4 linked regions of the Lepisosteus oculatus genome follow. The protein of the gene in region 1 interacts with the protein of each later gene in a pairwise test. Links are inferred from orthologs where the notes say so. Each region holds a gene or a part of one and is shown in the gene's direction. Other genes may lie near its edges. The genes, in order: bbln, thap11, cep290 and atp6v1d.

Region 1 (7,240 bases):
CTGTTCCTGCGCGTGCGCGCGGGAGACCAGCCAAACTCAGACTGGGCATCGTCGCCGAACGGTGGCCTGGGCCTGCGTCCATAGCGCTTGGAACCCTGCGTGCTGCCCCAGGTGCGAGGCTTGGTGTTCATCTGGGAATAAAAAGGACAATCTCTTGAGTACGATTACGACAGAAAGAGGTGCTCCTCAGCAGGACAAAGACGTCCTAATTTAAGCCTGCCAGCCTAGTGGACATACTTTCTTTCAATAGATGCCTGCAGAAAGACTAAAACTGAGCTCATTCACTTTATAGCAGCTTAATGGGTACACACTGGGTGGGATGCCAAAAACAAAAATATCTTATTAAATCCCAATTTAAAAGCAATGCATTGGGTAGGATTTATTGGACTTTGTACCTACAATTCTTACAATGGTTTTGAATGGATAAATCTGTCAAATTTTAAAACACAACAAACTATGTATAATGGCTCATGCAGATGTGGTCTGGGGAATAGAATTATGGATCCCACTGCAAGGACACACGCCAGATCACATGTATGTCATGAGGCACGGTATCGAACGTTTCTCAATTTAAGGGAAGCAGTCACAGTCTTCTCAGAAATGCCCCTTTGAATCTGCCACTTTTGATCTGCCTTCTCACCTGTACAAACACAGCTGTGCTCATCTGCAGAGTCTCCATTCGCTCGCTAAGTCGGGCCAGCCAATCCAGATGGTCAGCGATGGACATCTTCAGGTCGATGTTGTTTTGCTGGAATTGAACAAATAACAAGTAACACCACCAGTTTCATAATGAAGTTTAATCACTGGCAAACTTCTTACTATGGAAAAGAGATAATAGACATTCGGATACCTAGGGATCAATGCTAGGAGTATCCAGTGTCCACAATTCCTGCAGTCTTTACATGCAGTTCCAGTTATGTCACTGGGATCCAATCTGATTCCCTGGTATGTATTCCAGAGAACCCAGTTATATAGCTGATCCCTTAACTGACATAGTTATGTCATTACTCAGGCCTTTTCAGTCAATTACAGGTCCTAAACTTACAGTGTTCTGTTGTTTCTTTGAAACCTCCTGGGTTTTGAGGAACTGGAAAAGGGTCCACTTGGGGAGATCAATTGGCTCAATTAAAGACTCGATTCAAAGAGACCAGCTGCTATGAAAACTAGAACTGTGGGTCACCACCCGCATTCCACCCAAGATGTCCTTGGCTAAAACCAATGAGAGATCATGGACCTCCGCATACTAAAAAGGATGTTTTCTTTCATTAACTGCAGAGAGCTGTTTTTTTTTACCCAGAAGCCACCTTCTCCTGCTGAGCAGGAAAAGCTTGGCCCCCCCAGAGACTGAAAAAGTTCCAAAAAGAAAGACCCCAATATGCTTTAGTGCATTGTTGACTCGTAACCCCACAGTCTAGTGATCCCAAGGTTGGAGACTGAGGAAGGAGTCAGGTGCTGTCCAGGAACCAGCAGGGGGAGTTCAGACCTGGTCCCAGAGGGCAAGTTGTCAAGGTGACCTTTAGAGGCACAGCACCTAACTGGGAGAAGATGTTCAATTGGTCCAATGAGGCCAGCCATTCAGCGGTTTAGCTCATTAAGACCCATGCTGGAATTAAAACCTGCAGGACCTGGGCCACCCATCCCTACTGTTACGTGTTCTGATCTTGAATGTGTGTGGGAGTTTGCAGGTCCACTTATTTAAATACTCTCCCAGAAACATCCACTTTTTCAGGGCGCTGGCTGCCTTTACCCTCTAGTCTGGAAGGTTTAGACCAAGGTTAGGTCAAGAATTAGGGCTAGGAAAAAATTAGGGTTGAGGCTGACCGCAGGTGATGAAGGCGTTTGGGTTCAAACCCCGGAGCGGACAAGTGTCGTACCGCCGCCATGTTTTCCTTCAGCTCGGTGGCGGAGAGCCGCAGGTGCTCCAGCCGGTCCACCTGCTCCCGGAGGCGACCCTCCAGAGCCTCCATGAGCTCCGGGCTTTCCGCCGCCTTCGGCCCTTCTCTCGCAGACATCGCCGCCTCGCCTGGCGGGGACGGACGCGCCGCGGGCTCCGGCCTGCGCAAAAAACCAAGAGGCGCATCGCCGCGTCAGTTGCAACTGCCTCTCCCCTCAAGAGTGAAAATATACGACTACGGCGTGAGCGTCCACGTCAGACCCTGCGGCATGCACAAGCCATAATCGCCGCCAGAGCCGGTGTTGGGGGTGGGGATGAAAGTTGCTCGGTGTTCTGCAGCTGAGGTCGATATTTCCTCGGTGCTGAGGCTGCCCGATTTTGTGGCATGTCAGAAAGCCGCACTACACGGGCTGATTGTGTAGGAAATGTACCTGAACCCAGAGCAACTTCATTGGGGGCCCCGATTTTTTTTTAACTTTTCAAAATATATACAGTTTCACGTCGTCTCAATTAGTAGTAGCCGATTCGATACCAATTAGAAACTCTACCGTTATCCCCCCCCAAAAAAACAGGTGTCGGACCATTTTATTTTATTTACAATCACATGCAAGCTTCTTTACAGTTATTAGCTACAGTAAATTGCCTCATAGCCGCTCAACATTTACCTGGCGCTTAAGTTCGTGTCAGGCTAAAAAGAAAAACAAGTCACTACTATGCCATTATCATTATATCGGCAGCGATCAGGTGATCCTCTATGAATCTCAATAGAGAAAAAGAAAGGCAAATATATAATGGAATTTAATAGGAACCTAAACGAAGTACAGGACATACCGAGCCCGTCTGTGTAAACAACATTTGTACAGTCATCTTACTCGACATTAGGAACAATTAGCATGGAGTTAAAACTTTTGGTAGTCTCCAGCCGAGAAACCCTATCGAGGTAGGGGGAAGGATAGCTTTGAAGGAGATCAAATTGATAACTTGCATGACAAACTGGCGCTTTTGTAGTCCAGTATTTAGCGGAACAGCAGAAAACAATTCACTTACACTTCTAAGGAGACTGTAAAAAAAAAAAAACAACAACCCCGGGACCGTGCGGGTTTCCTAAAGCTTCAGCGGGCACCACAATGCTTCTGTCGAGAAGTCCGTCCTATTTACGGCTCTCCGATTTCCCAGTTTTGAAACAGCCGTGGAGTATGACTTTCGGACAGGGGACGTCTTCAGCGCACGGCTGGGAAGCTGGTCTGTCGCCGTTGTAGGAGCACTGGAGAGACCTTTTGTCTCGAAAGAATCCCAGGAATCTCACCTCGGCTGACGTCAGCCCCCTCCGCCGAGGGGAAGAGTGGAAAACGGCGATTTCAGAGCCCAGAGGCACCGGCTTTCCTAAAGCCTGAGCGCTCACACCGTGTCCGTCTCCACTATTGTGGCTGTGAAAGACGCACACCCCCAACACACACACACACACTTTCCCAAGAGCCGTAAACTGGGGTGCCTCGCTGGACAAGACGTTAGGCATTGTAGATAAGACACCGCTCTGCTGTAGGCTGCTGGCACGAAAAATATATATTTTTTTCATTTACATTGTGTTGCATCAGGGAGGCCTTGTTGTTTTTGTAAGTTAACTGCGTTTTTTTTTTAAAGGCAGCAGCAAGTTCTTTGCAGTATGTATAATTTTCAGTATTTGCATTGTGCGTACTCAGTTGTGTGTCCACGACAGCATTATGTAACCTAAATCCTTCATGCAGTAGCTATTCCATGACAGTGTAGCACGGACATTTGTCTGCTCATTTGAACACGATGGGCTCAGTTTGTATTGTACTGGAAGACCTCAGTGAAAGACCTGTTTTTTTTTTTTATCGTGGCGCAGTCTTATTACGAGAACAACGGCGCGTTAATATCCAACTTTATTTTACAACCCTGCTTTTGGATAAAGTATCGTCTACAATAGAAAAGAAAAAATACACAAGCTATTGTTAAAGCTATTGACATCGTGAGGTCCATACAAAACTAAAGTGTCTTATAATGAGACTTTTGTGTATGCATGTGGGATTTTTTTGTATACACGTACAGTAAATTCATAATATTCAATTCGTAATATTCATAAAATCTTAATCCTGTTCATCGGGTTTTTAAGTTGTCTGATATGTACCTAGAAAAAAATAGATTTGTGCAACGTAATATGCTACACATACACTGCACAAAAATGAATGTGCAGTAGATTTGTCCACAAAATGTACTGCTTAATAATCACTGTTTTTACGGCTTTCGTCATACATAATCTCAAAAGCACTTTTTAAATATCTTGCTGGCAAACTTCTGGAAAATGCATGGCGAAACAACACAGACTAAATAGCAGAATGAGCGAGTTTTTCATGAAGGAACCTTTTGTTAAAACTGGATAATACCCAGATATGGGTATCGCTGTAAGAAGTCTGTTTTTCTTGCAAGACTGAACTACTATCCGAACATACAACAACACCCGCAGGGTCTTTGACTGAAGGACCCCGTGTGAAGTAGCTCACAAGATGCCTTTAACAAATGTTTTTAAAAAATGGCGGTGAAGATTTTTGTTACATACAATTATTTCAGTAAATGCACTTAAATATTTTTTTTTCCTTTTTATTCATTATATTTAAAAGAATTGTGCACTACAAAACTTAACTCATGTACGATTAAGGCGTTATCGTTGGACACCCTAGTGTCCTTACTCGTGAACATCAGCTGAGCCGATCATTCGTTCTGCTTTTTAAAATAACCGGGTTATGATAAATGGCGATATTCTGAGTTTGGGTTTCTAGCTGTATGGCAGTACTTTTCACTTGTTTATAGACCTAGCGCTGTGTCTGAAGGCATTGATTGCATTCTGTAGCTGTCCTATATATGTACGCTGCACTCTAATCTGACCTGTTCAGTGAAGGGTATTGTGATCTAAATTAGGCTCGCCAAAACAAGCTGTCCTGTTCGAGGTGGTAAACCCGTTTTTGTGATCCACAAAGATCATGTCCGGACCAAATGGAGATCCAAGTGTTTCCATCGAAGTGGGCGAAGACGACGAGTTCAGCGAGGAAGGTAAATGCACTTTGTGATTTTTAAAAGACAAATTTGAAAAATATAACCGCAAGTTATCACTGTTGATTTACGCTGGGCAACAACTGTCCGGTAGCTTAAAATTCTTCTCATCGATACGCTTCTGTTGCTGTGTCATGTTATTTAAATAATCATATTGAATAGTATCTTGTTTCTTAAGCTTGCCGGCGGAATTGTCGTTGACGAGGGTTAGCGTGAGATTGATGTTGAATCAGGGACTCTGTCCGGACAGTTACTAGGCATCAACAGGATCAGGGTTAGGGAGCAGCCCCGGGTGTATCCCAGCAGTGCAGAACTGTGCTTCTGTCGCCATCTCTTCCAGAGTACGCGGCCATTAACTCCATGCTGGACCAGATCAACTCCTGCCTGGATGACCTGGAGGAGCGCAACGACGTGCTCAATGCCAAGCTGAAGGACCTGCTGGAGTCCAACCGGCAGGCCAGGCAGGAGTTCCGCGAGCAGGTGGCGCCCCCCCCGGGGGAGCCCGCTGATGGGGACCGCGTGGAGCAGTGAGGGGCGACCAGGAGGAAAGCGTCTGGGGGGCGTTGGGGTGGGCCAAGGAGGATGGTGGGGAAAATATGTTCAGGACTCTATCGGGAAGCACTTTATCCTGAGGTCACTTGCCAGTTTGTAGTCTACGTCATTTGCCAGCTTGGAGATCAGGCGGCAGGGCAGTGCAGCGAGCATCGAGGAATGAGGAATGAGGAAACGCAGAACCGGTGGTGATGTAATCAGGAGATGAAATGGATTAGCTGTCAGGTGTACGCTTCTTGGACCCTCGCCGATTCCTTCCTTCTTATTTCAGTGACGTTCTGACTGTGGTTTGTTTGTGAACAGCCGCTGAGGCCCCGCGTCCGGCAGAGGAATCCGACTCTGTTGGGCCCCTGAGCAAGGCCCTTAACCCCAATACACTGCTCCAGGGGCGCCGTACAATGGCTGACCCTGCGCTCTGACCCCAAGCTTCTCTCCCTGTCTGTGTGTCTCATGGAGAGCAAGCTGGGGTCTGTGAAAAGATAAATTCCTAATACAAGAAATTGCATATGGCCAATAAAGTGATCTGATCCTATCGTGTGGAAGTCTGCAAATGAGGAGCTCTGTGTTCTGTGTTCTGTCGGGCGTGTAGATGGCTGCTCCTGCACACCGTCATCTTGTGGCGTAACTATTTTGTCGAGACCAATTTAGTTCCTGCTAATTCCGAGCTGAGCATTCTGAGCCAAATTCTCATTTTCTGTTTTGAGCCTTTCCTGTCTGCTAAAGGTTTTGAATCTATGCGTCTGCCGTGTTGCATCTCAATAAATTATTAGCTTGCAACTTTCACATTTGTTCGACTTATCCATTTATTGTATTAATGAAATGTATTTCAGAGCAGCGGATTAATGATTAATTTATTTTGGGACCCTGCATTGTTACCTGTTACTGTTTCCTGGTAGTTTGAGTGTGTAAATAAAACATAACGTGCAGTTGAACTATAATATTGGAGTGTATAGCAATTAAACCAATATATATTTTGGGTCATCAATACTCGAGACTTTTTTATAATTCAAGTGGAGTGCAGAATTTGCTTCACTTTCATTAATCCTGCAATTTCCCACACAGGATCAATGAAGTATCTATTACCTGCTGAAATTACTTGCATTCTGTAGTAACCACGGATTGTAAATATTCAGGACGAAGGTACAAAAGACGTTTGATGCATGTTGCTGTGTTTGACTTTAAAGGACATATGAAAGATTTGCCAATAAAGATTTTAAAATCCCATCGGCAGCAGTGGTATTCTCTTCGGCCAAAACTATTGGTGTGATAATATCGCTTCCATCCGTTTTCTAACTGCTTCATCCTCTTCGGAGCTGCAATCTATCCCAGCAAGCAGGTGGCACGGTACACCCTGGAGAGGACGCCAGTCCATCGCAGAACAGACAGACACAAACACACACTCACACCATGGCCAGTGTTCACAGAAGCCTACCAGAATGTCTTTGGACTGTGAGACCAAACTAGAGCACCTGGAAGAAACCCACATCGACCTGGGGGGAACATACAAACTCCACACAGACAGCACCCCAGGTCTGGAATTGAACCCAGGACCCCAGCACTGCAAGGCATCAATGTCAACCACTGCACCACCCTAAAAAGCAAACACCCTGTGTTTATAATGAATTGCAAAGGAAAGCATGTGAAGAACTCAACAGGGTTTCCTTAAGATCTTACTCTCAGCCCTCAACTGACACATGCACACACTGCATAGTGTTTTGCATTTTG
Region 2 (7,453 bases), on another chromosome or scaffold:
TTATTGCTCCCACAGCGCAAGAGATCAAGCCCAATTCACATGTAATATTGCAAAGCTTTGATATGAAACTACAAATATTACAACTGCCCTGCAAAACACATAGTTTATTTTATCAGAAAATATACTGAAAACACCGCCACTGGAGAATTTGCCATAAACGGAGGTTTAACTGGTATTCAGTGTGCAGCTTATTTCTTCTCTTTGGAAGCAGGTGGGTAGCTCTGGTGTGGGTGACGGGATGTACCAGTTTGAATGATCTTCCTGAGCAAAACTCTGGGTGTTATATCACCCAGAGAGTCATGGCCTGGCAGCATCACAGGGCTGAGCTCATGGGTGTGCACAGCCGGCGGTCTCTTTCTGTGGGACTGGGTAGATCCTTTAGTAACATTCTGGAAAAACAGAAAGGAATTAATTTGACAACAACTAGTGTAAAACACTGTGGATGGGATTTTGAGGTTGCAATGATTAAGCTATCACTTCGGCTACTAATATCTGAATATTCACACCTGTAATAAATTAGTCAATTTAAATTGTATTACTTCAAATAAATAGGTTAGACACCTATGAAGTCTACTACAGCTACTCAATTATTTGCCTGACACTGTTATCCAAAGTGACTTACATAAGCACCATTAATACAGCTGGCTATGTTACTGGAACGATTTGGGTGAATATGTGCTTGGCTGAGGAGCCAGTGTGTGAAGAAACCATCCATGGGAATTATGACAGAACCCCTCTAAAGCAGAATCCCCCCAACAGCAGCGTCTCACGTGGGATTTAAACCCACAACCTTCCTGCTTAGAGCCCAGAATCTTGACCACTACACCACACTGATGGCCTAGTGATGGCCTCAAGTCATGCTGGACTCCAAAACAGGGAGGTTTGGGTGTGTATCCCTAATACAAGACTACTGCGGCACCCCTGAGCAAGGTACAGTGCTCTGATTGCCCTGCCGAGTAGGATCGCTCTCCTCTTCCTGTAAACACCTCCTCTTCTGAGAACACTGTAAATGCCTCATCTGGTTAAATCAAGGACCAGGACCGGTGTGAACACAATTTTGATTCACTATGAAACACCCGCTGGACAGCAAACCTTCTCGTTCTGAACAGTGCTGCACAGTTTTAACCGTCACCTCGTGGAGGCTTCTCCTGAGCTTGTTTCGCAGAGCCAAGCGTGGGGTGGAGCCACCAGCGTCGCTCTTCCGCAGTCTGGCACTCCTCCTGGTCCCGAAGGACAGGGGATCGGCACTGAAAACAGGATAGAAAAGACAACCCTTTAAAAAGCGCTTGACCACTCTGGGCGTTTGACTGGAGAAGGACACTGCAGGGCCCTGGGGAAGCATTCCCCTGCACTGCTGGGCTTCCCCTGGGTGGATTATGGCCACCCCGGTGTCCTGGCCAAATTTCCAATAGGCCCTTATCAATCATGGCCTCCTAATAATCCCCCTCTATGAATTGGCTACATTACTCTGCTCTCCTCCCCACTGATAGCTGATGTGTGGTGAGCGTTCTGGCGCACTATGGCTGCTGTCGCATCATCAAGGTGGGGCTGCACATTGGTGGTGGTGGAGGGGAGTCCCCATTACCTGTAAAGCGCTTTGAGTGGAGTTTCCAGAAAAGAGCTATATAAGTGTAAGCAATTATTATTATTATTATTATTATTATTATTATCTCATGCAATAAATGCTGAGGCTCAATTAATGAGGGAGACATCGCTGCAGGTTTAAAACACTACTTTCCTGTCTTGGGAACCGTACAGAGGCAACAGTGGTGCAGTGGTTAGTGTTTCTGCCTCACAGCACTGGGGCCCTGGGTTCAGTTCCTGGGGTGCTGTCTGTGTGTAGTTTGCATGCTCCTGTTTCCTCCCACAGTCCAGAGACAGACTGGTAGGTTAATTGGCTTCTGGGAAAACCGGACCTAGCGCGAGTGTGCCTGATTTGGTGTCTGTGCGTGCCCTGCAACGGACGGGCGTCCTCTCCAGGCTGTACCCCGCCTTGTGCCCGCTGCTGGCCAGGATCGGCTCCAGCTCCCCTGTGACCCTGAACTGGTAGGAGAGGTTAGGAAATGGATGGATGGAACAGCACAGAGGACAGATCCTCAAGTCACAGCAAACCGGTACCACTGGCCACCTCATCTAAAGAGTACTGAGCTGGGAACTTTGTTTAAAAAAAAATAAAACTGACCTGACATCATATGCTCATGGTGGCGGCGCTGAATCTGTATTTCACGTTTACCAGCGGCCAGATCACCCTGCAACTCACAACTGGTAACCCACTGAAGGTCAGCAGGTGTGAGCCTGGTCAATACCTGGATAAGCGTCCTGGCCAAATTTCTCCCTGGCCTTAATCACAGCCTCCCAATAATCCCCATCTCTGAGCTGGCTTCATCACTCTGCTCTCCTCCCCATTGATAGCTGATGTGTGGTGAGCAAATTGGTGCACTGTGGCTGCCATCACATCACCCAGGTGGGGCTGCACACTGGTGGTGGTGGAGGGGTCCCCATTACCTGTAAAGTGCTTTGAGTGGAGTGTCCAGAAAAGCGCTATAGAAGCGTAAGCAATTATTATTATTATTACCTGCTTGTGGCCTGGGAGAGGACAGGAGACCGGGTGGGCTCTGTGCGCAGGACCTTCTTCAGCAGCGTCCGAGTGGTGAGGTCAGCCTCCGGGGTATCCATGGCGAGCCTGCCTGAGGGAAGCAAAAACGCACAGATACCTTCAGAAACAACACCAGACGGACAGCAAGGAAGAAAAACTCGAGCAGACAAAAGCAAGCAAGTCGCTTAGTGGGAAAAAAAGCAAGAACGTGTTGTACTACAACGATAATACAAAATATTACACACTGTAAGTTAACAATAACCTTCTATTCGTTTTTTTTATTGGCATCTAAAGCAATATGGCACAATAATAGAGCTATACAACGTCCGGTACGTTTAAATATTCATACATTTCTTCATGCACAAAGCCGGAAGATTTGTAAGTAGATATTCATGATTTCTTATAAAAAACTATTTAATGGATGACATAAAACTAATCGTTTGAAATGAGCACAGGATACTGTATTCAAAATACTGTAAAATACTCACCTTATTTTTAAATACTGCGCAGCTCCCGATTTAAAAACAGCAGATTTTACGGTGCGCGTCAACCATTTGATATATCTTTACATTCGTTACAATTTGAAATATATTACGCCTATTATATATGTGCATTAATTCGTTCGTCAGCTAAAAGTTTATTTTGAATTCTGTTGCAGCTCGCATTTGTACTCCCGCCGGTTTATTCAAATCTACCCCCGCGATAGCTCGCCAGCGGAAGTTAGCCATCGCCCCACGCTCGATGAAAAGCATGGTGGGAATTGTAGTTTTGGGCAGCAATGCCGAGATAGATTCTGCATGATGTATCATCATGATGTATCATGCCTATCAGCAATTCCTCATAAACATTCAGGAATGTTTTTCATTTTACAGTTCAAACCAGAATTAATAAAAAATGTAAACTATATATCCATTGGTCTTTGTCATTTCATGATATTCTGGGGGACTAACGATTTTTAGGTTCAAAATTCAGTCCGTGAAGTTGAATTGTTTCTGTTTTCCTTCTTTTAACTTATTAGGGGATCCGTGTAAACAGTTTAAAAAAACTTCATTCTAGTGTATGACAAGAGTAGTGTAATAAAAATGTTCTGTGCTTAATTAGACCATTTACAGCGACAGTTAAACTGCACCAGCTGGAATTCTTACTATGATACAAATCTAGGAACAGATTTCACGTTCCCCTCGTAGGAGAGAAGGCTGTCTTTAGCATTTTAATAACCATAAAAGCTCGTCTTTTTTATCAAACCGCATAATATTGTTACCTGATCAATTGTTATAAATGCTTATTAGCTCCATAAACAAGTATTTTTCAGTGAGAAAGTTTCGGCGAAACAGAATGTTCCACCACCTCGCTTTTTAACAACGCAGTTAAAAGTGTTCGATTTCATTGATTTATCTCAAAATACTTCAGTATTTTCAATGGTGTTTCCACGATCCTGGCTGCTGACTTTCAACATCGAGAAAACCTGATTTCATCCTGAGACTTTTACTGCAACAGGCGGCCTGTCAAGCGTGATTAGGTTAATTCGGTTGGATACCCCTGCCTGTAATTTCACTTCAATATAATGACAGCTTGACAACTTTATAGCTCTTCGTCCATTTTTAAACAATTTTTTTTACATCTTTAATTGCTTTGTCCTTTCAACCTGTCAAGTGCATTTTGAAGGGAATAAACGAGAGAGCGCACGCGTTTTCTCGAGAGCTTCGCATTAGTTTATGTTATCATTACTTAAAACAGAGCTTCTTTTAACGAACGGTGAATTTATGTTTTTTCAATAACGACGAAAAAAACCCCAAAAAGCGTCCGCCCCCACTCCAAAAAAAAAAAAACCACTTCTTTCAATCGCCAAGTGCTCTCGGCAGCAAAACAGGAAGTAGTTAGCATTGTGGGATCTGTAGTTCCGCTCTGGAGCTGCTGGGCTCGATAACAGCGCGCGGAGGAGCAAAACAAAACTAAAATCCGAGAAAAAACTTTGGGAGGATTACACAAATATTGGCTAGGCTTCCAAATAAGCATGCCTGGATTCACCTGCTGCGTCCCCGGCTGCTACAACAACTCGCACCGGGATCGGGAGCTGAGATTCTACACCTTCCCCAAGGATCCCGTGCAGAGAGAGATTTGGCTGAAGAACATCTCCCGGGCCGGGGTGAGCGGCTGCTTCAGCACCTTCCAGCCCACCACCGGCCACCGGGTGTGCAGCATCCACTTCCCCGGCGGCAGGAAGACCTACAGCATTCGGGTGCCGACCCTGTTCCCGCTGCGGGGCGTCAACGAGAGGAAGACCCGGAGAGGCAGGAACAAGAAGGTGTCCGCCGCCGCGTACCCCGCTGTCGTCGCCGCGGTCGCTGCCAACGTCGATGCGACCTCCGCGTCCTGCGCCCTGGGCGCCTTCGCCTCCGAGGAAGTCAGCAGCTGCAGCGCCGAGAGCGCCGGCGAGGCGGGGCGGCGGGAGCCGCTGTCGCTGGAGGTGAAGCCCATTGACCTGACCGTGCAAGCCGACGGGTCGTGCGTCGCCGTGGTCGCGGCCAGCTCCTTAGCCCAGACGGGCTGCGACCACCCGCTGCCTGCCGCCGCTCCAGCCGCCCACCAGCTGTCCAAGGGAGAGCTCGCCACCCTCGGGGCGACCGACCACTCGTACTCGCTGTCGTCCGGCACCACGTCCGCGGAGCTGCTGAAGAAACTGAACGAGCAGAGGGACATCATAGCGCTGATGGAGGTCAAAATGAAGGAGATGAAGTCCACGATCCGACAGCTGAAAATCACCGAGGCGAAACTCCGGGAAGAAGTGAGAGACAGGGACAGGATGCTCTCCATGGCGGTGATACGAAAGAAACACGGCATGTAAAACGCCTGCATCGAGACTGAAGGAGAGAAAGAAACCAAAACGACGAACACGCGTTGAAATAACAAACGGAACACAAACTTTTATGGGAAAACAAAAAAACATACCTTCTTTTATAAGGGATCCCCCAAAAATGAAAAAAAAAAAAAGTTGAGTGAACCTTTTTGTACAAAAAAATTTTCATAGCTGAAAAATACTTTACATTTTTTTTCTTTTTAAAAAAGTTCTTTGCTAATGTTAAATAGGTGTAACGCGTTTGAAGGACAGTAGTAAGCATGAGCGCAGCAGATCACCTGACTCCATCGAAACAGCCGATCGCTTCGTTTACACGCTTCTAGGTTAGACGCTTTATCTCATCGTAATCCGGAGAAACAAGAGGCTCTTTAATAAGACGCGAACTGAAAAGCTTACGAGTTTTCTCAAGGCAGATAAGCGAACTGGGAGACACGCAGAGAGATTCGGGGGTGCGGTAAAGCACGCATAATCACACAGGAGGGAGCCGTGCTTGCGCCGAAATATCGACTCGTTCTGTGTTTTTTTTTGTCTGTTAACATTTTGCTGTCTTTCACAAGACGTGGAGCATTAATTAAATGATGTGCCTAGCGTGTAGCCGAGTCCAGTCGTTCTTAGACCACGGATTGGCCTAATAGTTTGAGTGGTGATGGGTGGTACTCATGTCGAGAGGCTAGTTGTGTAGCCATCATATACATTTCAAAGTTTTATTCCTTTCTCAAGAAGTGGTTTAGTAGCCTTCGCAATTGCACTAATGCGTGACTGATAAGATGTGGTCTAAATGCGGCTTTTGGTGAGAATGTTTTCACTTTTTATACAAAGGTAAATTAATCCCCCCCGTGTCTTTCAAACGGCACGATTTTAATGTCCCCCAAAAAACGTTGTATACGCATGGGTGGTGAAGATCCACAATCCAGCAAGTGTTTGAGGTCATCCTTTAATCACCAATGTGTAAATACTAGACGTGAGTTGTTCTGATCAATGTAGTCAATCCATCAGTTCATTTAAATCAGGACTGGACAGCCTTGATCCTTGAGAGTTACAAGATATTTTTAATTTCAAATGACCTGTGACCTACTTCATCTGACAGACCCCCCGCTTAAATGGTCAGAACAAAATTGTTCCAAACATTTAGGAACCACAGGTTGAAGGGTGACCCATAAACCCTGTTGCACTGTGGCTCTGCAGAACCAGGGGCCCGGCTACCCCTGATAAAATAACTGCTAACAAAAAGTAAGCTCGGTTCATTTTTGAATGCGTAAAGTTTAGTTTCATTACAAGGACTGATTGTTCTCCCATTTACAGTAGGTATATGTAATAACAAAGTCAAGTACCACTGCTAAAATCCTGAACTGCTCTCTTGTCTTGAGTGCTAATAGTTCTGTTGCTCAGTTACAAACCTCATCCAACTGTTTTTAAGAGTAGGAGCTATAGTCTGTGATCTTATTTTCCTGTAGTTTGGTAATCACAGTTTGTGGGGGGGAAACCCTTGTGTGTTGAACCATTGTAGGACTTTGGTAGTGAAAGGAGCAGGTGGGCAATAATAAAATCTGTAAGGTTTAGCTGTCATCTACAAGAAAGATGAGTTTGGTCAACAAAAGTGTCTATTTTACACTTCCTCAAAATGTTACGCACTGTGTACTTTGGTAACGCTGCCCTCCTGAGTGTGTGTGCGTTGTAGAGATTTGTGTTAAAAAAACAGTCGTGATCTGTGATAGGCTTCCAGAATTAGAAGCGTCTTTGCATTGTTGCAAATCGAACTGAGCTACAATTCGCAAGCCGAATCCGGGCAGGAGTTCGGATGAATCTGTACTGTTCGAAGACACTGTTTGTGGAGGGGATGGGGTAGGAGGTGCAGATTGGAAAGAATCCCTTCCCGGTTTGGATAGGGATAACCGAAAGTACTGGAAACGGCATTTGGGGTGTGTACCTATATTGTCACCCCTGCAGCAGAGCAAGCGTTGCTTTTTGAAAACGTGCTCTTGACGTGATAACACCAGGGA
Region 3 (7,973 bases), on another chromosome or scaffold:
GGGTAATTTCAGATTCTCTTTTAAAGCACTCAGCTGTAAAATTAGGCTACCCCACAACTAATTAGGCACTTGCTGTTAACATAAACCTTATAATTTCTAAAGGGTTTATGATACTTTAAAAAAAATAAGATTTAACCGGTCTGAACAGACTTAGGCATGAAGGAAAGGGTTAAGAGCATATTGTGGGCAGAGAAATTGCCAACAGAAGTTGTCAGATAAGATTTGCGGAGCTGAAATTGTGCTGGACTTAAAAATAATGTTCAAGGACTAGTGGGGAGTGGATATCTGGAGTTGTAAATAAGCAGTCTTTGTCCTGTGATATCTTTGCTGAATGCCTTATTGCACAAATATGTTAACTACTCCAGTGGAGTGGTATCACTCCTCAGGAAATGCTTTTGTGTACCTGCTTGACTATATAAATGGGAAAGCCCCAGCTTGAACTTTGAATTGACTACTGCTCCTGTGGCTGGTCAATTCCAGTATGCATACATAATCAACCCACTGCGCCTTTCTCACAAATGATCCTAACTGAGTGTGGATTTTCTAGAGGCATAGTCTAAAAAATGTATTTTTACTCAAATATGCATTGTCGTATATAATATGAAATTCTGAGATATGCTTCTTGAACATGTTAAGAGTTTATGTACTGTTTTTGCACATCTAAAATCACTCAAACTCTTAGCGTTATCTCCTAAAAACCAACTTAAATAAATGGTGGCTGCATGCAATGTACAAAAAGCAAGCTTATGCATTTGCATGTGCAAAGCAATGAGCTTACAATAAGAGAAACAGGCTTTACAGTTTCAGTCATGCAACGAAAGTGTCATGGCTCAGTGATGACTGATTGTATGCATCAACACCTTTGGGTTCAGCACAAGACATCACAAAAGACACATGAGCTCAACTCTTAATTTCTCTCATTTTAATTTAGTGCCAAAAGAATGTAGCTTAAAACCCTTCAAGACTTTATATGGCAAAATTGGACATCAAAGAAATCTCTTTGTTTCCTGACTCCCAGAAAACATGTGGCTAGGTACCAAAACCCCAAGCTTGTTCAATATCTGATTTGGATTAGAGAAAAAAAAGATTTTGCAAGATGCACTAAACAGAAATTAATTCAAACCCATTCACATGCAAAAAGAAAATACTAGGCTGAGACACCTTTAATCAAAGTACTAACCTAAAACAGTTTTGTTTACGAAATAACCATTACGGAGCCAGAATTAATCAATTGTGGACATCTTCATCAGTTTTTTAATGAGTTCATTTCAATTTTTTCTTGGTTTTGGACTGCTTTGATCGTTTTAGAATTGTTTTATCTGGGTAAGTCATTCCAGTACTTAAGACTACAGTATATGAAATGCCTCTCTGTAGTATAGGTAGTAAAGCTGTTTACAAGCATTTGTCTATTTTTACCTTCTGTGATATTTTACTGGTCCCTAAGATATAGAACAAACATCTTAACCTCATGTTTACCTGGAGTTACAACCACGGTAAGATAACACATATTGATACAATCAAAGTGGTTTGTACTTTATTCTTCTATTCCTACTGAAACACACAAATTGAATGTTTTTCTTTGAAAAACTGACAGATAAGCTTACATGATAGGGGTTTCAGTAAATGCACTGCATATGTAACAAGGTCTTTAACTGCAGCCCCCAAACACATGCAATAAACTAAAACCTCAACGAGCCAATATATGAGTATGCAAATCTGCAATATAGCATTTTTATGGTTAGGATAAAATAATGTTATCTTAATGTCACAAATCACACCCATATAACCAAGCATACACTCTACTTCAATTTAAACTCTCTTTAAGTAATCTTAAGACCTTCCATGTTTTAGTATATAAATAATGAATCTGCTAAAAGCTGACATGCACATTGACATGGACCCGCATTAAAAGAAGAGCAAACTGTAACTGAATTAAGTACACAAATTAAGTACAGTGATATATTTTTACAGCAAAGAAAGGGACTATTCCATGAAAAATGTGATATGATGAAAAAACTGTTTTCTGTTGACTGAAAATACTGTACATGTATAGTAGTTGGGTTGTTTTATGGGTTGGTTTTCATCATCAAAACAAAAGGCATGCTAATGGAAACTCAAATGGAGACATGGCTAAATTCTGCAGCATCATTACAATCTACATTTAACTTGGACACGCAGGTACCCCAGCTTGTAATTTGCGTTAGCCTGCAGTGTGAAATAACCAGATTGCCAGAACGCACATGTAGGAAGCTTTGTGCTCTTCATTTAATCCCTTCTGAGCGTTGCTTTCATGAGGACAATTCACAATTTGAAGAGTGCGGGTAGGGGGGACAGGTTAAAAAACATTTTAAAAAATGCATTTTAGAATTTAAATTAACATAGCCTAACATATCCTTTTTAGGAATGAAAAGTGAGAGTCTGTTGGTTTGCACATTAAACAAAAAGGTCATAATGTGCCCTTGAAGCTTTGATTATCAAAATAATAACTACAATTTTGAACCAAAACAAAATGCATGTTAATGAATTAAAGAAGTATATTGAATCAATACGTCTTACAACTTTCAAAAATCTGCAAAAGTCAGAGGAATTGAATTTCACTAATCTAAATCTCCAACCCAAATGTACTACAACAGTATTGAAAGAAAGTTTTCAAATACTGTTTTAATATACGTTTTGAAAGCTCAATTGGAAAAGACACTCTTAAATTTAATCTATTCTGTAAGGAAATTAATTTCAGTTTAAATGAAACATAAACCAAACATTTTTGAAGTGCAGAGTGCATATAATGTTTGTAGGTTCAGTTTTATACACTAAGATGTCTCAGAAACCACTATTTTAAGATTTCCATATTTACTTCCACCAAACCAGGGTTTTGGATTTTAGGTTTTGGAGCTTGGTAAAAATCTGAGAAGCACGATCAAAGCAAAACTTACTATAATGGTAAATATGTGAGGGCAAAATTCTTGGAGAACTTATAAGTGACCTACCTCTGACATAGGAGTTCCCCAAAAGTCATTGAGAAAAAGATTTTGGAGTGGAGTTGTGGGCCGCAGGTCCTTGTTATCCAGAATAGCGGAGACATCGTCAAAGACAAATCCGCAGAACAGGCTGTTCCAGTAACAGGCCACAACTACTCCGGCCAACAGTGCAATTTCCTTCCAAGTCATTGCAGCCATCATCTACCAAAAAGTTCATTGGTTACTGCAAAACAACCAATACAACCCAACAGATAAGATTTCAATTCACAACATTCTCTTTCCAATAAAACAAATAATGCATTGACATTATAATAGAATAAAAAAAAGTTAACTGATAGCCACTGGCAGAGATTAAATGCTTTGGAGGGTGTGAACTAGGCCATGGGAGTCTGTGAAGAAAAAACTAAATTGTCAGCACATGGTAGCATGTTATGTCTGCCAACGCCAATTGTATTCTGCTCCTTTCCATACCACCCATAAAACCTGTAGGCTCCAAGAGAGTCTGGCTAACACAAATCCGACACTAAAAGTATTTTTAAATGTTCTCAATGTTTTTGTTTTTCTAACAAAGAGAATATTGTACAGTATCAGCCTAAAAGCTACAGTAGTCCATCAAAGTCTCTCTAAACGAAAACATTAAAACATGTCCAGAATATCCTAGTTTGCGTAATCAATTAATCAGGAACCCTCGTATTTTAACAAAAGGTCGCTGAGTATTCATTATAAGTATTAAATAACTGAGAAAAATCTAAATGACCACATTTTCTGAAATATAGGTTTTGAAATTTTAAAAGTATATAAATATTTATTTTTAAGAAGTCACTAATCTATCAAGGGACCGCGTATTGAATGCCTTGCATTGATTTATTCAATATGTATTCGCAGCGGATGCTTAACAATCGCAAAATTAAAAAAAAAATACTACACAAACTTATATAATTAAACCATTTCTACCTACGAATGACAACCGCCGCTGTATTAGATTATATTTCGTAGTAGGCAAAATGTGTTATATGAGGCCGACGGACTTCTCTAACGTGAATAAAAGCTGTACTTACTGAAGAAATTCTAGGGAAAAACACTAAGCTTTTTTTTCTATTTCTCAAACACTTCAAAAACTCTACGACTACAGCGGCATTCATCACATCCTTACCGCTTTGTCATGCTCGACGCTAAACTATAACGAAACACACTATTTTATTTAACTGTACATAGCATTCCTGTTCAATATGTTACTACAGGTAACATATTTCTTCCTTCATTTCCGGGGCGGAAACGGGGGATTCTTAAAGGAGCGGCCTGAAATTAAAAACGAGGAATGTTTATATTAGAAAGCTTTCTTTAATTTCCTGTATTTCAGTCATTACTTGCTTTTCGACTTGTTAACAGACAGTAAAATAATGCAGTTATAATGCAGGGAAAAATCTTTTATCAGTAAATGTAGTATGAAATTAACGCAATTGTTTTAAGATTTTGAATAATTGTTTTAACTCCCCACAGGAAATTATATCAAATTAATGCAAATAATAAAAGAAATGCTTCCACTGATGTCCCTTACGTTATAACATTAAATATACATACATATAATTCGCGTTGAATTACATTGCAATGCTCCTTATACTGGGTTTCGCATGAGAATCCATGAGAGTCCCAGACCAACCGTCTCCCAAACCATGATTGGCTCATCCTGACGTCACCTGAGCAACGATTGGAAGAATTTGAGTCTACACGTATTTCCCCTCCATAAGCGTCTGGTTCAAAGATATTTCCCTTTTATTTATTTTTTTTCATTTGTGTAAGTTCACCCTGTCGTTTCGTACCCTAAGTAAGATTAGAAATAAAGACAACGTTGTCTGAGAATTTTTCAAGACTCTCCTTCTCTGTTATTTTTCTTTTTCCTCTCTAAGAACTTCAAATCGCTGCTCTGGGGGGACGGTCAGGAATTAATTTAAACTTTACTGCAATTTTTGCGTCTCCCTGCCGTAAAGCGGTGCTGGATTTTCGACTGTTTGAAGTGGTAGCCTAGCAGCAACAGAAAGCATCGCAGCACAACATATTCTGGGAGACATAGTATGAGGTTTAAACTTTAAATTAAAGATGTTTGATTTTGTATTCATGAAAAAGAAGCGAGTGTACTGTATCTTAACACCTGTCGTTAGTAAAGTCGGAAGGCTTGAGTAATAAATTATATTGTTTTTACCTTGCATTGCTTTTGAAAATCATGCAGGTTTTGATAACAATAGTCGTGCTACGGTTTCGTGGTTGCATATGGGAAATTTCTCTTAGTAAAATGATTAATAAATCACAAATTCTAATATGCTTTCCTGTTTTCTGACCCTTTTCAACTTTATGTCTACCACCCACAATACCTTTTAATCTTTATGGGGTTGCTTCTGACTTGGAATGGGTTATGATGATCAGCTTGTTTATTGAGTACATAACGGGAACTAGATACAGTAGATACATCCCTGCTATTGAACCCCTTGAGCAGTGGACTTTTTAGTCTTTTATGTTTAAGTGCATTCTGTTCCTCCTGTTAGGTACTGTTCGTTACTGTTATAAACCGGACTGCTTTTTTATTAAGCGATACATAATTTACAGTACCTATAGTGAAGGCTGCATGACAGGAGTTCATAAAATCATGATGCACAGTATTGGATGTTGCATGGATTAATTATTGTGTGCTGAGAAGATTATAAAAACGATCATTCATATAACCCTCCAAATAGGTTTCCATGTACCTTTTTTTTTTCCTGCAACGTGCAACCACAAATGTCCATTTCATAATAAAACTAGCATTCCTGCTCTTTTGAGATATCTACATACCTTTAGGGGATTCGTTTTTACAAACCTTTAAGCGGTTACTTTTGCTACTGTTGTTTTGATATAGCTTAAAATACAAACATGTTTTCCTAGATTGGAACCACACAGCTTTTAAGATGCCTTTAAAAATTGACTGGGGTGAACTGATGGATGTCGATCCAGATGCCTTAACAGATCAGGAGAGCCTGGCCCAAAAACTTTTGGATTTCATTTCACAGGTATTGTTCTTCTTGTTATATATATATACTCGTGAATTTTGTCACTTTCAAGAGACATTTATTGACTGAAAATAGTACAGGAAGCCACTAACACCACTTTTAAGTTTATCTATACAAGACAATTTAAATTTGAATCTAATTATAGTACTGTATTTAATTTCTAATATTCTAAAATTGCCATCATTAATAAAAGTGTAATATATATACAGTACTGATCATCAAAAGAAATGTATAGATTTATATGCATCTGTGTAAATAAAATATACACCGTTAATGTTAAAATATACAATGTTATTTGCATCTTTTTGATTATTTTTTATTCACATTTGTAATATACTCAAGTGACTTTGACTGTTACATGAGCACTAAATCATCTCAGTTGTAAAAAATATTAAAATAGAAACTGACGGGGCACAGATGATAAGGTAATTTAAATCTGGTGAAATACCAGAAAGGAATAACTTTGCTTGTTTACCAAGACCACAGTGTCTTTGCGCCTCTGGTATATTGTAGGTTGGACTAGGTCACCTTAAGAGGACTGTCCAGCTGTGTAGCCAAGTCCTCTTTAGAAAGATTCAAGGTTACTTTGGACCACCCTGATGGTTGTCAATGAGTGTGGTGCAGATTTGTGAAACGGGTCTATATTTTTTGTGTACAACAGACAAATCAGTGTGGATGTGTTGATATAATGGTCAGGGTAGGAGTTTCAAGTCACTACAGAACTCAAATTGTAGAGGTAGATGGCAGCCTGACCCCACAGCATTACATTAACATCCTGACAGAACAACATTCCAGCAGGATAATGCGTGTCCTTAGGCTGCTCGTGTATGATCTGAATTCTTGCAAAGTCATTGTTGGATGTTTGTACCAAGGCTACCATACTTAACGGACTTAAGCCCTATTCAATATCTGTCTGTTGTGTCAATACAATTAATACAATTTGTTACTGTATATACATTTTGTGTTGCAGTTTCTTATGAAAGGCCCTGCTAAGTGTTTGTAACTTTCATAGTAGAAAACTAGTTGATCGACTCTGTTGATGAAAAAATGTGAAAGAGAATAATAGATTTACCTTTGGCTTGTCAGTTCAATAAAAGGTCTGCATAAAAAGATAATCTTCTTGTGACCTCTGTAAACGTGTTGCAGTTATCAGGGTTAGCTTATTATGATTTCATTTTTAATCACTTAAATGCAAACAGTGAGGAAAAAACAGACTTTATTAATTGCTTGTACATTGAAATTGTTAAATCAGACTATTAGAAACCATTTGTTTCTTTTTTGTGGATTTTATTTTCTTTCCATTAATGTCTAGTCTTTCCATACCCACCACTGGATGTTGGTGTCCCGAAGATTCCCTTGCATGTCCTTTTTTTCCCATTTTCTTTTTCCAGCTTACTTCAGCAAAGCTTTTGACCTATTTTTCCCAGTCATTTCTCTGTCTCTTGGGAACTTTGCCCATTTAATCCCTCACTGCTCTATTCTTCTTGCAGTTCGAATGACTTATTACTATGTTAATGTTTTCACTTTTTAAATAGTGTTCATTGCTCACTGATACATCTATTTCTGTCTTCTCTTGTTTTACCAGTCACAAGTATTTGTGCTGTTTTGGAATTCATAGTTTCTGATTTTTGCTTTTAATAACTGATGGCTTGAAGGCTTTTCCCCTGTGACTAATGGCAACATTTTCTTTCAGTATTGTACTTTTCCTTTTGTAATATACTCCATCTCATCTTGTCTCAGCTTTTCATTTTCCCCTTAAGGTATTTATGTGTGTTGATTTGACGATGATAGACATAGCTGTTGACTTTTAAAGTTCTGTTTAATCAACTTCAATCTTTTTTTCAGCCTCCACACTACTGATTACTATAACTTTAATCATGCCTATGTTAAGTCTGGCTTGTATCTGAAGGTTCCAAAATTTGAAGATGTTGTTGTTTCATGGATGCTGGTGAAG
Region 4 (7,770 bases), on another chromosome or scaffold:
TCGCTCAGCAGGATCATACCCTCGATATTGTTGTACTCCAGCAGGCTGACATAGGCACCCATCTCTGCGATGGAGCGTACGTTCACCATTACCACATCCTCCACTTCCGGGAACTTGTGCTGGTAAAATCTACAGCTGAGCCCCGGCATGCTGGCAACAGAAAAGGCACATCCCATGGCATGACACACACACAGGAAAGGCAGGGAAAGACAGCTCTAGTGCATAGACTTTCAAACTAGATAACTTGTACCTTTATACACTGATGTAGGTCAGCACAAAATCGCAAGCCTTTGCTCAACAGCATACGTATTTCAGCCATACAGTGAAAAGCATAATTACTGGGACAGTGAAGTGAAATTTGTCATATATGCGAATGATTTTAAATTACTAATGAAATATGAATTTCAGATCAAAAGATTAATATAAGGTAAAGTACAGAATTCCAGTCTTTGTTTCTGGGAACACTTTTGCACACAATACTAAAAAAATGTCAGTTGTTGTGTTTAAATCCCCCATTTCAGATGAGCACAAATATTAGAACAAATGTTTCTAATTGCTCAAGTGAAGACACAAAAATTGTGAATGTATAGCCTTGGTTCTAGTCTTTGGGTGTTTACTTTTTCAGTCTGCCCCTTGAGTTAGAAACATTAATCAAGATGATGACTAGACAGTTGTCTATGATGAAAAACCAAGTAAGAAAATGAAAGCAAAGAAAATTCCAATTAGAGCCACTGCAGAGAAACTGGGCATCACAAAATCAATTATAGAATGTGCTGAAAAGGAAGAAAGTACTAGAGGTGTAAGCATTTGGCAAATACCAGGTACTTCAAGGAAGATGACAACAATTGATACAAAAATCATTAGAGCTGTAAAGAAAACCCCTACAATAACAGCCAAAGAGATTACAGACAATCTCCAGAGTGCAGAGGTGAAAGTATTTCAATTCATTGTGTTGTGACAGGAGAATTACAAGAGATAAACTGCAAGATTCAAAACTCTTAAGCCTTTTTTAGTCTTATCAGCACTAAGAACAAAAAGGCCAGGTTATAATCTGCAAAGAAGTACAAAGATGAGCCACAACAGCTCTGGAAAAAAAGTTTCATGGATAGATGAGATGAACATAAACCTCTATCAAAGTGATGGAAAGACAAAAGAGGGGAAAAGGAGAGGAACTGCACATGATCCTAAGCACACCACCTCATCAGTAAAACATACTGGAGTTAGTGTCATGGCTTTTGCATACAAGGCTACCTCCAGATCTAGCTGACTGGTCTTTCTTAAGGATATAACTAATGGTAACAGCAGAATGAATTCTGAAGTGTGTGGAAATATCTTGTCTATGTCCAAAAAATGCTCTAAAACTCAGTGGATGGCAATTCAACCTGCAACAAGACAATGGCCCAAAATATACTGCACACTTAGCCAAGGCAGTAGGGTTCATCAGGAAGAAGAAGTGGAAACTTCTGAGCTGGCAAAGCATCTCAAAGGAAAATATCAAGTCTGGTGATGTTGTTGGGTTGCAGACTTGAAGCAGTTATCACTTGTAAGGGGTAATTAACTCAAAGTTAATTTGTCTCAATACTTTTGCTGACAAAACAAATCAGGAGGGACTGACCATAAAACCATTTTTTTTAAACATGTATGCACAAAAATATCCCAATATAAAAGCTTGCATTCTGTTTAAGCTGCCTTATGTTCATCTTTAAATCTGAAATACAATTTGGAAAAGTATGCAGCAAAAGCGACACATTTTACTTCACTCTATATTTGTTATACCACAAACCTGTGAAGGATTGAACTGAGTGTTCTAAAAAGAACTGTAATTCTATGGGACTGGCTTTGTAATGAAAAACAGTGTTAAATATTATCAAATTTAAATAAGGAAATTTAATAAATTAATTAAAATCAATTTTCTTTAGATTATAGTAGTCAGTTTCTAAAGCACTGAATCATGTGTATACTACATGAACCCTGTTGCTATAGTATACTGTAAGAAAAGAAAAATAAAGCTATTAGTAGTTTTGGATGAAATCTTAGTGAAGTAGTCCAAGTCTTATTGTTCCAGAAACTATTCAGAAACAATACATCTGAAGGATTTCAATTGCTATATACGCAGACCTTATAGAAGCATTCAAAAGTGCTTTGGTTGCTCTAATTGTACATTGTGATGTTTCACATTAAAGCAGCAGGGACATCAAATAGAATTCAATTTGAAACAAAAGATCACTTACAACCAATACCAGAAACGTGTGATAATGTCTTTACGAATAGCTAAATAGCTGCAGGGGAGATGAAAACTCAGCCAAACAAAAAGTACAAATACTCTAACCACAAAATGAAATCTATCTTGAAAGATAACCACAAAATGAGATCTAATATCTAGAAAGATAAATAAAATACAGTTGCAGATACTGTGAAGATCTTGACTCCTAACTAACCATCTTGTAGCGTGATCTCATGAGATTTCAGAAGCTGATCAAGAGTTGGCCCTGATCAGTAATAGGATAGGAGACCTCCCAAACAAAACAGGTTGTGTTGGTGGATTAGAATTTGAAAACTGATGCCTCAGTATGGTGACCAAGACCACTCTGCTGTATAAGATGTATCCCTTAGATTAGATATTACACTTAGGTGTAAACTACTTGGTCATTAAAATCCCATGGCACCGGCTCTGGTGGCTTGGCTAAATTCACTTCTGGGCCTGTGCAATTCAGCCTACCTAAAGTTATCACTTAATTAATTTGATGACACAATTTCTGTTCTGTTATGGGGCTGCTGGCACATAATAGCAACCTAACATCACACAGCCAAACTCACCATGTAATATTTTCTTTTTCTGATGTGTTTTATAACTTTACTAATTTTAACACGATTTATAACTGTTTTTGCGTATCAGCCAGCTCCCAGAAAGAGTAAGACGACTATCTCGCATGAGAAGTGGTATAGGGCAGGTTTTCATGTGGTAAATACATGTGGTAATACAAGAATGGTCTGAAGAGCAAATGATTTGGGCACAAGAGCGTGCCATATAAATATATAAGAGGGGGTATTGAATAAAGCCACCACTAGTCTAGGATGACCTTTTTAATAATGGGCATTACTGCTTCAATCGCATGTCCCGAAAGACTATCGTGAAAAATTAAGGAGACTTGGGATAATCACTTCACCAGAACACGACCGACTGTGCATATTCCTGCCTTTTTCGTAAACTGAAATTTTCAGTCAATGGTGAAAGAATCGGTCAATTTCAGTTCCTGTCATTTTAATTTCCCAATACACTGAGACCACTTTACAATATCGTATATATACAGTTGAATTTTGAAGGCATGTGGCGACTTCTGCAACTCTTCTCAGAAGAATGGTATCGTTACGCACTTCTGTTAGTTTTTTATATGACTTCTTGAGTAAATCTGGCACATAAACTGCATCTTTGTAACATTTTGAGGCACTTTTCCCAAAGCAAATTACTACAACGCTCTAACGAAGACAGGTTGTGTGACCAGACCGCTGAGATTCGTAACAACATTAGATGGTGAATGACTGTCCCGAATAAACCTCTGGCCAAAAAGCTAGTTTATTATCAGCCACATCTGTATCAGTTTCTACAGTAACATCACATGTAGCAAGACTACTCTCCCCCTCCACCCAATTCATTCATTTTCTGAACCAAGGGATTAAAAAGCGACACTACCTTTATTCTTGATAGAGATCCAAACTCCGTAATGTTGAATAATTCACCTACGTTTGAGTATTTCTCCTCTCGACAAAGTTACGCAGAAAAAAATGTATTTTCTAGTTAAACGCTGAGAACGGCCTAAACCTTAAGCGCAGTTAGTTTCCTCAGCATGGACGCACAAACACGTAAACCCTGACCCGGAAAAGGAAACTATGAAAAGGGAATCGGCTTCGCAAGTTTTGTGACGGTGACACCTAGTGGAGGTGAAAGTTGCTGTTCTTATGCACGAGAATAAGAAAAGTACATCTGTTACCAAAACCTAAAATACAACAAAACTGTCTCGATGATGTAGACACATTTGTTATATAGAATATATATATATATATTTGTTTTTCTCCGTTTCAATTCTCAGGAAAATTTGTTTTTCTTTTGTCAGTGGTTGAAAGAATACACTGATGCAGACGATTACTCACACATTTATGATCGATAGAAAAAGCATATTTTTGAATTATACGAGCAAATAATTGAAATTAGCATCCAATAGTATGAAAGACCACTGGAGCTTTTCTACGTTTGAGAACTGTAGCTAACGAGCGAAAAACACAGAGCTTGAAAACCGCTCATAAACCCTCATAAAACGATTTTTTAAAATCTAAGGAATTTAGAAATTTCGTTTTTATGTTTCATTAAAAGCTTCAAGCATGGCAAAATTAATAATACAATTTTTGCGGCATTATTCGAGAAATTATTTAATTAATAAAACAAGACAAGTACTTAAAATAAATAATACTATTCAAAAGGTTTTTTTTTTATTTATGCATAAGAGATTAACAAAAATTACAATACAAACAAAAGTACATATAACAGTTCAAGACAAAAAGATCGTCAGGGGTAGATACTACTACATAAATTCAAGTTATGTAAAAAGATTAAACAAATTAAATAAAAATAATGTTTTCATATATATTTTTTTACTTTCATATTTTTGCTACTATTCAAAAGGTACAACTTCTGTCCTTCGGTTCTTACTGACATGTCGTTGGTTCTGACGTACCCAGTTTTACCTTTGACCTTCGCCACCTCTGTCACATGACGTTTACCCAGCTGATTCGCCTCTGACTGACACTGTTGACCAGGGAGATTTCCAGTTTGCTTTTTCCCGAAAGCTATTGAATAGGGAAATCATTATAAGGAAGGACGTCTTAATAAAGAACAGTTTTCCTAGGATAAATTCTATTGCAATAAAAGTATACTGAACCTAGGCAAATCAAAGACGCGTCGCTTGCATCCAACAACATGTCAGGCAAGGACAGGATCGAAATTTTCCCATCCAGAATGTGAGTATAATTATTCTTGCAACATCCAGTTCGTTTCTGCAACGCATAACGAATAATATAACAGCACAACGACAGAAGCATTCCAGACGTTATATTAAGCTTAATTTGTACATTTGTCAAATCAATTTGTTCCGAAAGTTGGAACAAATTGTTCCTGACAGGACGCAACTGCCTTTTTTGAATCGAGTGTGTAAAAAGCTTTACTTATATATTTTTAAGTTTTGTTTTTAAAGATAGATGATTATGGTGTGATATGTCCTCAATGACATATTTAATATTCTTTGAAGTTTTTAGTAATGTTACATTAATTTGACATATATTTAAAAATACATATTTACAAAAATGTGAAGCGAGTGTATAGGTAGTATATCTGTGTGTAGGGTAACGTGACTCAAAAAGTTGTTCTAAATGAGGAAGGATTATTGTGCGACAGGCCCTAGATCATGTGAGAAAGAACAGCTAATTTTTTCAACAGAGCTCTGCTCTCTCTGTGTGATGTCTGGAATTTATCTCAGTCAATACAAAACTAATATTTTCCCAGCTCAGGATGGTTTTAGAACAAGCACTGTAACGTCTGCATGTGTGTGATATTTTAAAGGTTTTTTTTTTGTCTTAGTGGTTGATGAATGTTTTTTTCCACAGAAACACACATATCATTTGCGTCGTTAGAAAAGTTTAACTCTTTATAGTGCAGGCCTTTTATTTGCTACCAAGGCAGCAGAATCTTTACTTTCTGTAGATAATTTAGCAATGCTGGGCAGTCTGGATGAAAGCATTCCAGTAATACAGTTACAGAGACGCTTTGTGTCTAGTAGTCTTAATAAAAACATAAGAGAGGGATGCTGATGAGAAGAAACCTAACAAGAAAACCTTATTTATACCTATTAGGATCTTCTAAAATTGAATAATTCTCCTCTCATTTTCCTTTGTCCTAGACTGAAAAGATTTAACCTTGAGCCTTTGAAAAATTATTGTTTCTCCATTGAACTATTTTTACATTTGTATAGATGTACAATATCATTGTTTGGTATTGTGGCCAGAACTGAACATAGTATTATAAAGTGAGTTTTTACTTGTACATTGTAAAGCATAAGCATAACTTCCCTGGAGTTAAGTTAAACACTTCTATATACTGAAGCATTCGGTTTCTTTTTATTTGATTCACCATATTGTCTTGATGAGGACATTAAAACAGAAAACAGGATGCTATGGATTCAATATGGTGAGGCCTAGTCAATTTTTTGGTTTTGAGCAATCTTAACCCCTGTTGAACCTCAGTTTCAGACATGTTAAAATTACCCTAAAACTAATGTTTTGTTTAGCAGTGGATGTGTTATTGAAATCTTTAACTGTAAAAGCTTGCATGAAATATTCATTTAGCATGGTTACTATTTCATTATCATCTTCTATTAATCCACTGTTATTTCTTAAGCTATTATAAATTATTCTTTCACTGCTGCAGTACAGGAAAAAATGCTCTACTATAATTATTTGTGTCTAGTGAAGTACAGTATTCTTTTAAGTCTACTTCTAAGCAATAGTAATACAATTTTTCAGATGTGGCTCAGTATGCTCTTTTTCCATTTTAATTTTGGTATTTTACACTGTAGAGCTCTCTCTAGAGTGCTCCTTTTTTCTTAATATCTTCTTTAAACAACTTAGGCCACATTTACATAGACATGGACTTTTTTAAGCACCAATTTGATTTTGGCCTTTAGTGTTAATAATAATAATAATAATAATAATAATAATAATTGCTTACACTTATATAGCGCTTTTCTGGACACTCCACTCAAAGTGCTTTACAGGTAATGGGGACTCCCCTCCACCACCACCAATGTGCAGCATCCACCTCGATGATGCCACGGCAGCCATAGTGCGCCAGAACGCTCACCACACATCAGGTATCAGTGGGGAGGAGAGCAGAGTAATGTAGCCAATTCATAGATGGGGATTATTAGGAGGCCATGATTGGTAAAGGCCAATGGGAAAATTTGGCCAGGATGCCGGGGTTACACCCCTACTCTTTTCGAGAAACGCCCTGGGATTTTTAATGACCACAGAGAGTCAGGACCTCGGTTTTACATCTCATCCGAAGGACGGATGATGTGTTGTGTCCTGTGTGGTGTTGAGCTAGGCCATGGTTGAAATATGCTCTATTTTACTTTGTTTTTCAGTTACTTACTAGGTAATGTGAACTAGAATACCCTAGAAAAAATACTGCTGTACTTTGACAAAAGGCCATTGCGAATCTCAATGCAACAGGCAGAATCCACATTTCCTGAACATTACTGTCCAGACTGCAGCACCACATTGTGTCCTAAGCCAAAGAGTCATGGGGACTCTACCTCTACATGAGTAATCTAACCATGGTCATTTTTGACAGTGCTGTATGTTTCCAGAATAAGTGAGTGACAGGTCTTTGTTGTTATAGTCACCCTAAAAAAATCACCCTAAGGTACCCATATACAGTGGATATAAAAAGTCTACGCACCCTTATTGAAATTACAGGTTTTTGTGGTGTAAAGCCAGAAATCAAGATAAATCATGTCAGAGAATTTTCCATATTTAATGTGACCTTGAAACCAACAAAATTCAAGAGAAAAACAAATAGATAATTATTAGGAAAAATAATTGAAATTAAAAAAACCTACAACACCCTGGTTCCATGAGTGTGCACACCATTTTATAGTGGGTGCTGTAGCTGTTCAGAGTTAACCAATCACATTCAAAATCATGTCCAAAGGTAAGTAGCAT

The links.
Region 2: the proteins of bbln (region 1) and thap11 interact in a two-hybrid assay, tested with the Homo sapiens proteins (2 studies listed by BioGRID and IntAct). The link is inferred for Lepisosteus oculatus from reciprocal best matches to the Homo sapiens genes BBLN and THAP11.
Region 3: the proteins of bbln (region 1) and cep290 interact in binary tests that used the Homo sapiens proteins (3 or more experiments, as listed by UniProt). The two-hybrid records come from large-scale screens. The link is inferred for Lepisosteus oculatus from reciprocal best matches to the Homo sapiens genes BBLN and CEP290.
Region 4: the proteins of bbln (region 1) and atp6v1d interact in binary tests that used the Homo sapiens proteins (3 or more experiments, as listed by UniProt). The two-hybrid records come from large-scale screens. The link is inferred for Lepisosteus oculatus from reciprocal best matches to the Homo sapiens genes BBLN and ATP6V1D.

The regions. Positions count from the first base shown.
Region 1 is NC_090719.1:12,772,823-12,780,062, forward strand, and holds bbln (bublin coiled-coil protein), read left to right. Parts: upstream 1-4,570; 5' UTR 4,571-4,893; coding exon 4,894-4,963; intron 4,964-5,303; coding exon 5,304-5,494; 3' UTR 5,495-6,739; downstream 6,740-7,240. UniProt on the Homo sapiens protein: Essential for intermediate filament organization in intestinal cells, interacts with intermediate filament and regulates intestinal lumen morphology.
Region 2 is NC_090715.1:3,956,034-3,963,486, forward strand, and holds the start of thap11 (THAP domain-containing protein 11), read left to right. Parts: upstream 1-4,489; 5' UTR 4,490-4,610; coding exon 4,611-5,441; 3' UTR 5,442-7,453. Other genes in the region: uncharacterized protein cenpt, read right to left, coding at 245-389, 1,133-1,247, 2,576-2,676. UniProt on the Homo sapiens protein: Transcription factor, which has both transcriptional activation and repression activities. Also modulates chromatin accessibility.
Region 3 is NC_090702.1:17,386,123-17,394,095, forward strand, and holds the start of cep290 (centrosomal protein of 290 kDa), read left to right. Parts: upstream 1-4,971; 5' UTR 4,972-5,048; exon of another isoform or gene 5,049-5,055; intron 5,056-5,894; 5' UTR 5,895-5,917; coding exon 5,918-6,019; intron 6,020-7,973. Other genes in the region: protein O-mannosyl-transferase TMTC3, read right to left, coding at 2,988-3,179, 4,560-4,664. UniProt on the Homo sapiens protein: Involved in early and late steps in cilia formation. Its association with CCP110 is required for inhibition of primary cilia formation by CCP110.
Region 4 is NC_090703.1:26,162,416-26,170,185, reverse strand, and holds the start of atp6v1d (V-type proton ATPase subunit D), read left to right. Parts: upstream 1-4,762; 5' UTR 4,763-4,972; coding exon 4,973-5,013; intron 5,014-7,770. Other genes in the region: eukaryotic translation initiation factor 2 subunit 1, read right to left, coding at 1-149. UniProt on the Homo sapiens protein: Subunit of the V1 complex of vacuolar(H+)-ATPase (V-ATPase), a multisubunit enzyme composed of a peripheral complex (V1) that hydrolyzes ATP and a membrane integral complex (V0) that translocates protons.